3 linked regions of the Oryzias latipes genome follow. The protein of the gene in region 1 interacts with the protein of each later gene in a pairwise test. Links are inferred from orthologs where the notes say so. Each region holds a gene or a part of one and is shown on either strand. Other genes may lie near its edges.

Evidence for each region.
Region 2: the proteins of trim23 (region 1) and bag1 interact in binary tests that used the Homo sapiens proteins (3 or more experiments, as listed by UniProt). The two-hybrid records come from large-scale screens. The link is inferred for Oryzias latipes from reciprocal best matches to the Homo sapiens genes TRIM23 and BAG1.
Region 3: the proteins of trim23 (region 1) and nek6 interact in binary tests that used the Homo sapiens proteins (3 or more experiments, as listed by UniProt). The link is inferred for Oryzias latipes from reciprocal best matches to the Homo sapiens genes TRIM23 and NEK6.

Annotation. Positions count from the first base shown.
Region 1 is NC_019870.2:3,055,334-3,058,502, forward strand, and holds part of trim23 (E3 ubiquitin-protein ligase TRIM23), read right to left. Parts: intron 1,151-3,169; coding exon 1,016-1,150; intron 945-1,015; coding exon 815-944; intron 735-814; coding exon 624-734; intron 1-623.
Region 2 is NC_019875.2:29,408,390-29,412,145, forward strand, and holds bag1 (BAG family molecular chaperone regulator 1), read left to right. Parts: upstream 1-1,121; 5' UTR 1,122-1,215; coding exon 1,216-1,252; intron 1,253-1,764; coding exon 1,765-1,893; intron 1,894-2,185; coding exon 2,186-2,268; intron 2,269-2,339; coding exon 2,340-2,453; intron 2,454-2,536; coding exon 2,537-2,644; intron 2,645-2,731; coding exon 2,732-2,794; intron 2,795-2,880; coding exon 2,881-2,970; 3' UTR 2,971-3,469; downstream 3,470-3,756. UniProt on the Homo sapiens protein: Co-chaperone for HSP70 and HSC70 chaperone proteins. Acts as a nucleotide-exchange factor (NEF) promoting the release of ADP from the HSP70 and HSC70 proteins thereby triggering client/substrate protein release.
Region 3 is NC_019870.2:24,939,367-24,943,122, forward strand, and holds the start of nek6 (serine/threonine-protein kinase Nek6), read left to right. Parts: upstream 1-1,391; 5' UTR 1,392-1,497; intron 1,498-1,842; exon of another isoform or gene 1,843-1,861; intron 1,862-3,756. UniProt on the Homo sapiens protein: Protein kinase which plays an important role in mitotic cell cycle progression. Required for chromosome segregation at metaphase-anaphase transition, robust mitotic spindle formation and cytokinesis.

The sequences.
Region 1 (3,169 bases):
GATATCAAATTGATTCTAAAAACATTCTATCACATTTCATATTATGTCACTAATTATGCAAAAGTAAAAATAACATCCATTTGGTTTAAATGTAAATTGTTAAATAAATTGAAATCAAGTCAATCTGATTGGTAGTTCTACTCTGATCCATTTCTTTCTGCTGGAGCCTTAAATTGTGATAGAAAAGGTGAAAAATCATTCATTGATTGAGTAATAGCGGTTTATTTATAGAAGTCTATAGGTTTTTGGCTTCTGGGAGCCAGGATTTACCTCCTGTTTGGGACGCCAGGGGGGAGGAGTCACTCCGTCCAGTTTTCATATGCAGTCAGCTTAAAGTGAGCTTTGCACACAAGCATTTACTACAACTCGACTCTCTGGATGAGGACGACTACAGGACAAGTCTGTGGTGCAATTCCCTCAAAGTGAGTTTACAAAAAAAAGTCTAAAAACAACTTTAGATAAAGTTAAAAAAAAGTCTGTTCCTGCTGTTACTGAGACAATTTCCAGAAGACCCCATCTGCGAAGTTCTTGGTCGATAAAAAAAGAAACTAAAGCTGAGCAAAATCTCCTTTTTCATTTAACCACTATAAGTTAATCAGAAGAATAACAAGTGAAGCACCAACCTTGAGTGTTGAGATAATAGTGTTTCCAGAGCGGCCTCAGCTTATGCTTTCCACCAACGTCCCAGATGGTAAATTTTAAGTTCTTGTACTCGACGGTCTCCACGTTGAAGCCTCAAAAAAGAACCAGAACCAAGTTTCATTCAACTCAATCTTTCAAAGATCGTATGGTTAACCAGTGCAGACGTCTTTACCGATGGTTGGGATGGGCTGCATGAACTCGTCTTGCTTCAGCTTGAATAGAATGGTTGTTTTTCCAGCCCCATCGAGCCCCAGAGTCACCACCCGGATCTCCATCTTTGGTCCGATGTGAACTCGGTTGTCCTGAAGACACGTTTCAGTTTAGCTTTGGGTTTGTCACCGCGAGGCAAAGGTTTCCAAACGCAGACGAAGACCTTGGTGAAGGTGACGGGGATGCCGGCGTCCAGCTGGATGTGGTCTGCCAGCTCCGTGAACTGGTGCTGCTGCTTCTGAAGCGTCTCCAGTAAACAGCTGATCTCCTGCTTTGCCAGAACAACCCTGCAGTCGTCCTGCATCGGGAGAGAAGCCGCACGCAAACACAACACGGTGCTTTCAATGCCTTGGAACGCACCACTCTACTCCTACTGATTCAGAGAAGTTATCATGAACAAAAAAACTGATCCAAATTCTAAAACACACGAACATTTTCAAAATAAGATCAAGGCTCTGTCCAAATTCCCACCATAACCCCTAACTACTAAAAAACTCTATAGTGCTGCACTATGTCGAGCCCTGAATTTTAACAGCAATTCGGACGCCACGCTCACTACTTTTGTTTTAAACGGCGAATATGATGTCATCAATTTCACGAAGTGCTGTGAGCGTTTTGCGACGATTATTTATGAGTCCACTGTCTCCTGAAAATAAAAACATTGATGGTCTATTAAAAAAATACATTTTAACGCATTTATTTTGGTATAAAATGTTCCGACGCAATGCATTGTGGTCTATATTAAATGATATAGTGAGCATCGATGCACACAGGTTTTTTTGCAGAGACTTCAGGGAAATTTCCAGGGCACTGGATTTTGGAATTGTAGATTCGGACAGAACTAGAAAATGCTGAAGGCACTATTTAGTACGGTGGCCCAGAAGGGTCACAACACAACACATTAACTTTACACACAACACATTAACTCACAACACAACACATTAACTTTACACACAACACATTAAATCACAACACAACAAATTAACTTTACACACAACACATTAACTTTACACACAACACATTAACTTTACAACACAACACATTAACTCACAACACAACACATTAATCACAACACAACACAATAACTCACAACACAACACATTAACTCACAACACAACACATTAACTCACAACACAACACAATAACTCACAACACAACACAATAAATTACAACACAACACATTAACTTTACACACAACACATTAACTTTACAACACAACACATTAACTCACAACACAACACATTAATCACAACACAACACAATAACTCACAACACAACACATTAACTCACAACACAACACAATAACTCACAACACAACACATTAACTCACAATACAACACAATAACTCACAACACAACACAATAACTCACAACACATTAACTCACAACACAACACATTAACTCACAACGGAAGTAAAGCTGCAATGGAAGTGCTTTTATTCTGAAATTTCAACTGGGCTGAGCGGCTAACTGCCTCACAGAAAGTAACGTCACAGTGAGCTGTGGAGGGAGCATGATTTTCTACAAGAGAAGCTAGCAGCAGCGTTGCCAGATTGGGCGGTTTTGGGTGTAAATTTGCGGTCAAAAATGCATAATTTGTATGGTTTAAAGGTCGGTTCAGCGGGTTTTTTCCCACTCATGAATATATAATAGCGGCCTACGTTAGGCCGTGTGGCTTTTGGAGTTCTACTGAAGCTCCGTGAACGGCAGAGCTTAATGGACCGGGTTTTGTCATCTAACCTGTTGTTGGGGGAGTGCAACGCCCCGCCTCTTAGAAATTGTGTTCATTAAAGCCTGACAGTGGGGATTTCTCCACATGTGTCGTGTCAAGTGTTGGGGACCGCGTGCGTGTGTGAGAGGAAGAGGGAGGGGAAGAAAGGAGAGGAGCGCGTGCAGGGACTGGGAGGGTGTGTGGGTGGGTGGGGGGTGTTGGGGACCGAGTGAGTGTGAGAGGAGGGGGCTGAAGAACGGAGAGGAGCGGAGCACGCGCAGCGACAGAGAGGGGTGTGAGTGCAGCGCGGAGGAGTGTGCGTTAACATTGTGTAGCTTCTCTTGTAGAAGAAACATGCTCCCTCCACAGCTCACTGTGACGTTACTTTCTGTTAGGCAGTTAGCCAATCAGCCCAGTGGAAATTTCAGAATAAAAGCACTTCCATTGCTGCTTTACTTCCGTTGTGAGTTAATGTGTTGTGTTGTGAGTTAATCTGTTGTGAGTTATTGTGTTGTGTTGTGAGTTAATGTGTTGTGTTGTGAGTTATTGTGTTGTGTTGTGAGTTAATGTGTTGTGAGTTAATGTGTTGTGTTATGAGTTAATGTGT
Region 2 (3,756 bases), on another chromosome or scaffold:
GAACATGGACTGGACATTGTTTCCCACAATGCATTTCATTTTTGTAGTTAAATTGGACGTGTAAGGGCATATACATATATAGAAAACAAAATACCTTGTCTCTAGAGTCTAGAGGGACTCGAACTTACAATCTTTGAATCTCTTGTCAACGATTTATTTAGACATCCACTCTGCAAAAGCTGCTTGTTGATAGAGTTCAAGCTCGCTAATTCTTGGAATTGATTTCCAATCAAATCACACATTTTTGCTGATGGGGTTACCTGTTGCAGGTGCTAAAGGTATTTTTCATTTGGTGGTTTATACTAGATGTCCTCCGTTGTAGGTAAACCAGCTGTGTTTTTCCGCTAATGGAAACGTGTAGTAAAATAACAAGTAAATCCCCTTTAATCTAACAATTAAAAAGTTATTTATGTGTGTTCATCTTTTAAATCAACAGTCAGATTTTTTAATATTGTCAATACATCTGTATTTTTCACATAAATAATTTATTTTATGTTATTCTGCTGTAGTACATTAAATAGACCATTATGATGTTTTAATGTGCAAAATCTCCAAAGTTTAATTTAGTGTATATTTCCGTTAGTAACAAATGTCATATACTATTAGGCATGCATATTTCACACATGGCAGAAGAGATCATGAAAGCCACGAGGCCGACATAAAACCTCCAAAATCGCACACGTTCCAAGCGGGGCTCGAACTTGCAACTTCAGGGTGTGTGTTATGAAAGTTGGAAACTTTATATCGACTTACGGGCGCTGTCCTTTTCCCACAATGCATCACGTGTTTGTAGTTAACGCAGTATTTGAGGCGCATAAACTGTAAAAGTAAAAAAGTGCGACTCTGGTGGGACTCGAACCCACAACCTTTGAATCTCTTTTGATCGATTTAGCTAGAAGTCCAATGCGCTATCCATTGCGCCACAGAGCCGGTTGGTCGAGTCAAGGTCTGCATAGAAAGCAAAATTTTCAACATTCGTGACTGACTGTCGGCGTTGGAAAGTTTAAGGATCAAACATTCAAACAGAAAAACACGCTTCGACATTATTTTTTAAATCTGTCTCTATATATTTATACGTATGTATATGGATAAAAAGGACCTTTTGAAATGCAGCGGAAAATCAGTCCGTCATTTCCGGTGCTGACCGGAAGTAGTTAGCTGTTAGCGGAGATAGCCGGGTGACTTGTGTTGAGGTTGAAGAACAAACACAAAGACATGTCTGATCAAACGATAAACCTGATAGTCAACTACGGTAAGAAAACGTTTTGAATTTTAAACAAACGGAGACTGAAGCGGCTCCGAGTCTTAGATGTGACTGTAGCTCAGAAATCCTTTGCTTGTTGTTGTGTAGCCCAAACGCAAAAACCGGTTCTAGGAAAAACTTCTGCTGATCATGATGTGAAATGAACTATTTACTGTTAGGCATTGAATGTCTCAGCAAACTGCTTTACCTGTCTGCTCAAAATTCGAATTATGTTCATTTTTAATTGTGGATTCATAACAAATATAACGTGTCATCAAATGCTAAAAATAGCAGAAAAAAGGTTCAAATCAAAAGACTAATGAGGATCAGACTCTACAAATGGGTTTGATTATAATAAACTTTCAAGAAGTCTCACTTCATTACAGATTTTAAATGAAATAAATTGTAATTGATTAATTTTTGTTGGCTTCACAACTGAGGTTTGGCGATATGAATTCACACAAACCTGTTTTATTTATGTTCACAACGTTATGACAACTGCATGAATGTCTGTTGATCAGGTTCAGTAAAACACAACATCAAACTAACGAGTCCAGATGACGGCAACGGGCCGGCAGTGAAGGATTTATCAGAAGCTGTCTGTCAGGCCACCGGCGTTCCCCCCGCCTCTCAAAAACTCATCTTCAAAGGTTTGGGTTTGACCTACATTCTTTTTTTTTTTTTTTTTTGAATGCATCCCATAATTAGGCCTTGACTCCATGTCGCGGCATTGTGATAGTTTCTGAAAACGAAGATCTAAAGTGATCAACCAGCTGAGCGTTGTTGCAGTGTCGTGGTGATGCAGACAAAAACGGTTGTCGTGGTTACCAGTTTCTTTAATTTGCTAAAAACTATACATAAGGAAGACCAAATCTTTATTTCTGTATTTTCTTTGACTTGGTGCGTCTGCAATTTTTTGCTAACATATTCTTCTTTCTTCAGGGAAGTCTCTGAAAGAGATGGACGAGAGGCTTTCCACCTACGGGATCAAAGACGGCTGCAAACTCATGATGATCGGGAAACGGGTAAGACGCTCGGGCGCCGCCCCTGATTGAGTTGGCGTGCGCACATCCCACTGACAACGCTGTACAAACAGAACAGTCCGGAGGAAGAAGCTGAGCTGAAGAAGCTGAAAGACATTGAGAAGTCGGTGGAAGTGACCGCCAAGAAGCTGGAGAAGGTGGACGGGGAGTTGACGGGACTGAAGAACGTGAGCCACAGATCCTGGAGGGAGAAAAGCATCGTCAGATGGGTCGTTTCTTTGAGGTTTCACCTCTTTTCTTTGCTCTGCAGGGCTTCTTGGCCAAAGACCTCCAAGCTGAGGCTTTGAGCAAACTTGACCAGAGAGTTAAAGTTGCTGCTGAGCAGTTCATGAAGATTCTGGAGCAGATAGACGCCATAGTAATCTCTTTTTGGATTGAGCTTTTTATCCCTCGAGTGTTGGTCATTTCTAACACACTCCTCTCTCTCTCTCTCTTTCCTCTAAAGTCTGTCCCGGAGAATTTTAACGACTTCAGAGTGAAGAAAAGGGGCCTCATAAAAACCGTGCAGGTTAGCCAGTAGGTTTCTTTTTTTCTGCTTTTACTGACGACGCTAAAAAAAATTGACTCCTATTTTTCTGTTTTTCGTGGCCTCAGGACTTCCTGGCCCAGTGCGACAGGCTGGAGGCGGGTATATCAGACCACCTATCAAAGACCCAGTCCAAGAACTTGGCTCTGGCAGACTGAAGCTGCTTCCCTTACTGTGTGCTATCTGTTGCTCTGTGAGCAAAGTGTACCAACGGCTTCAGATGTGGAGCAGATTTTATTTATTTCTCGGTGTGATGTGCTTCATAACGAAAGGAGACTTTGCTGAGATCATGAGGGTCAGCCGTAGGTGAAGATGCGTCTCAGACTCAGACATGGACTGGAGCGTCGGTGGTGCTTTGATGTTTACCGTAGATCAAATCCTCCGTCTGTCCTGTGGCGTTTTCCTCCCATCGGCCTTCAGCTGTTCCTCTCGGTCGCCGCCAGCCTGATCCACAGAAGTAAGTGAACCCTCTTTAGATGTTTCCACCACGTCAACTTGAAGAGGTTTGTGAATTTACAGAGTTGTATTTTTGTTATAAAAAAAGGAGAAAGTCAAATTAGGCAAATCACATCATCATCAACTGACTTCTACTGTACATGTTCATCAAAATCACGACGACTGCAGAAAAATGAATAAATTTTAAGCCAAAAAGACAGATCTCCAATGTTTGGACGTTTATTTCTGAAGTCCCGCTCCCATCATCTTCTGATCGATTTTCCCAGCATTCCTTAATGATGATGCCATTTTTAGCCAAAATCAGAGTAAGCCAGCCCCCACTTCCCATCGCCCATCCTTTTATACAGTGAGCTTAATGGAAAGACCCACTCTGGGGAAACTGGTGTGTTTCTTTAACCTCTTCTTGGGGCATTTTTCTGATGATGGAGGACAAATATTTAAAAGAAATTCAGCTTAAATTGCAAATCTGAGGATTTCTTTATTCAACT
Region 3 (3,756 bases), about 22 Mb from region 1:
AACTGAAGAATGAGAAAAAAGGACAGAAAAGGAGAAGAAAAGCAAAGGGTGGTGAAGGTTTTATTTTTATTGAAACCACTCCACAGTGAACTGGTTTGATCAATCATTTGTTTTTAGTAAATCCTGACAAATTAAAGAAAAGACAGAAGCTCATCATTTGTTCCTACTAGGAAGTGAGGGATTAACCCATTAGTGCATTCATTCATTTCTAATTAAAAACAATTTATATAAAATACATTTAACATTTAAATGTGATTTAATTTTTTCGAAGCAAATCAAAACACCTTGATGCTGTCTAGAACTAACAGATGTTTTACCCTATAAGGATTTAACAAAAAGAATATGAATATAAATGCTGCAAAGGGTCCCATATTATTGACACACACATTATATATTATTATTATAACACACACATTTGAACACAAACATACTAACAGGCACAGACACTAAGAAAAACACTAAAATACACACAAAACTCAAACAAACATACATATTTAGTGTGTAATGATTAATAGATTAATCAATAATTCGATTTCTATTCCTACCATCCAACCAGATCAATTTGTCCGAGGCAAAATTTTCATTAAATCGACCTATATCACTGTAAAATCTTTTCAAAGTAAAATAAATTCATTTTATCAATATTGGTAATTGCCGTTTATTGAAACAAAGATTTATTTTACTATGATGTAAAAACAACCAAGTACCATCAAAGTGGACAACAGACGTGATGAAAGCGAAAACTGACCACAGTCCATCATTCCAGTCCAATGTGTGGAAACACTTTGAATGTCATGTGACCATCCAGTGTGCTAGAATGTTCTAATAATGTTTCCTTTGGATTCTTTGGATGTGGTAAAACAACTGAACTCTAGGAAACTATAATGTGAATGGGTTTATCATCAATTCTGGTTTACTTGTGTGATTATACACATATTTAATTTACACTTGAAAGTTATCCATTGCATCTGGAAAACGTCACCTTCATTGAACCAGGAATTATCTCGGAGTCACACTGGTTGAGGTTTTGGCTGAAGATGTTCTGGATCCATTTTAGGTCAGTGAATCGGATCATTTGAAATGAACCAAAGTTTTGAATCGAATCAGCAACCAAAGGCTGTGATAGAAATGGAATTGTTGGTGAAAGGAATGGTTACATCCCTGTAATAACTCACGCACGCACACGCCCCTTTTGCTCGGTTCGTACAGAAACTCCCCACGTGGGAGGAATCCGTCCTGGAAACATGTGGCATCTGCGGTACCTGCTCAGGTACGTTGGGGGGGTTGTTTCTAACCCAATGCTGCCACGCCGCGGGAACCCACGAGCTGCGAAAAAAGGTTGTCACGTGTTCTGAATCTGAACGGCAGAGAAATCAACCGCGCGTGGCGGCAGCAGCTGAACAGCAGCAGGAGGAGGAGGTTCTGGGGAATAAATGAGCGGACCAAGAGCGACGGAACACGAAATGAGAGCGGCCGCAGATCCAAATTCTTCCTGAGGTAGGGCTTCAGACGCACTCTTTGCGTGACGTGTTTGCTGAACTACTCTGCGTTTGGACGGCGAGCTGACCGTGAGTTTCCACGCGTGTGGCTCTGAGACGCCTCGCGCTCATTTGCTCGTTCCGGAGACCCAGAACTCTCGGTTCGGGGCGTCAACCACCATGTAGAAACGACGTTTGTGACAGGACCGGGGACGGAAAGACCAGCAAGAAGTCCCCCCATCTGCTGCAAATGTATGGAAAGCTGGATGTGTCAAAACCGGTGAATAAAAAAAAAAAAAAAATCAAGACAGTGTCCATCCGTACATCATGTTCAGAATTCGTGGGGCCAGCCCTGACCTTTTTTCTCGGCCCCAAGTCTTAAGGTTAGTATTATGGTTGGGGTTTCGGGTTAAACCACCAAATAGTTCCTGAGCGCGGCTGTGTTTCTGCAGCTCAGCGTCCTCCAGGGGACGGATCAAATGATGCAGAAAAAACATTTCTCACAGCTACTGTGTGACAGATAAGTTTCATTTTAAATATGTGCGGCCAACAACCTTGGATGCACTTAAAATACATGCGGGCAAATGCAGCAGTGCACATCTTGGCTGCACGAATTAATGAAGATGATTTTCCATCGCTGTTTGTGCTGGGCGGTCGCACTTGAGAAAAACATCAGCCTTGAATCAAATATTCTAAATGCGTTAAACTATAGCAGACCAGTATACGGTAAATCAAAACATGGCTGTCTATGAATGAAAATGGACAAAAAAAATGCATCTTGTTGGTATAAGCTACATGTGAGGTTTATTTATTTTTTATTTTCACTAATCTTTTTTACGTACAGTAAGCTAAAGTGTCAATTTATACAGATTTTGTTATATAACAAGTATTTAACAGGTTTGATCTGAAATGATCTACGCTAACTAACTGACACCGCTGCACGTTAGCCACGTTAGTTTTTTTTACAATAACACCCAGCCTTTTTTGCAAGTCCTAAAAAACATAGTGACATTTTGACAGAGCGCCATATAGCTCTCAAAATCACTTAGATATCAGTAAACATATCCAGAATTATACCATGGTCCGGTAGGGTTGTGCGATATCATCGTCCATCGTGATGGGTGACTGACATCCCGATGGAGAGACCACCATCGTGATGCCACGCCCCCGCCACGTTGCGCGTCGACACCATAAGCCGCGGTTACATGTACAAAATATCTTGATGGGATCAATGGTCGGATTAGAATCCAACCGTGTACATGGTTCCAGAAAAATGTTTTTAGAATATAAAAACGTTCACTAAGGTCACACTTTCCGTCGGAATAAATCATTCGCACATGCGCAGTAGGGTTTGAAAAACGGAAGGATATAAACTCCGCCGAGCGGCTTTTTTTTTTTTCAAACTTTATTGTATGTAACAATTCAATACAAAACAATGTTAAACAGCGCCGAGCGGCTATATACATTGACATGTCAGCTCGGTAAAATACGAGATGATCTTCTAAACGTGCTTTTAATAATGTTACGGTTATTATGAAACACCTGTTCGCTCATCATTTGAATTTTAATCCGTGTGGTCAGTGCTTTTTCTGAACGAAGCCAGGATTAGTATGCTAACACGGGCTAACAACATTAGCTTTGGATGGTGCTGCTTGCTGGCTGCACGTAAACATGTAAGAATAACATCAGCCTTTATTTAGTCGGGACACGACTGGAAACACAAATCCACGTGATTGTTTGAATGTTTTCTAAGGACTGAGCGACATTTCTGCTTTGATGCTCAAACCGCTGTGTGTGCTGACGATCCGAGCTGTGCTCAGACACACTTTTAGACCCGGTTCTGAGTTCGGTTGCTTGTACCCCTAGAGCTGCGGGACGGATCGCAGTCTTAAATCTCCCACACATACCGCTCATGTACCCCCCCCCCCCCCCTTCCCATCAAACACAAAGCTTTAAGTCCGCACTCCCCCGGAAGTGCGGGAGCGGACTACTTCTCTTCTATTTTGTTTGTTACTTTTTTTGTTAAAGTCACTTCCCTCAGTTTATACTGGATCATCGCGGATTGGGAAATAAACATCGTCAACGGCCAATTTAAGGGACATCGCCCAACCCTATGGTCCGGGTGAATACTCGATTCTGATTGGCTGCTGGGTTTGCAGTAAGAGGGATAACGCACAGTGATGTCCGCACGCCCCAGAAAGAAGTTCCTATCTTAAATCTTCTTTATCACTGCACGGCTTCTTTAAAACAACCTTTAGCTTCATCATCTGGACAAAAA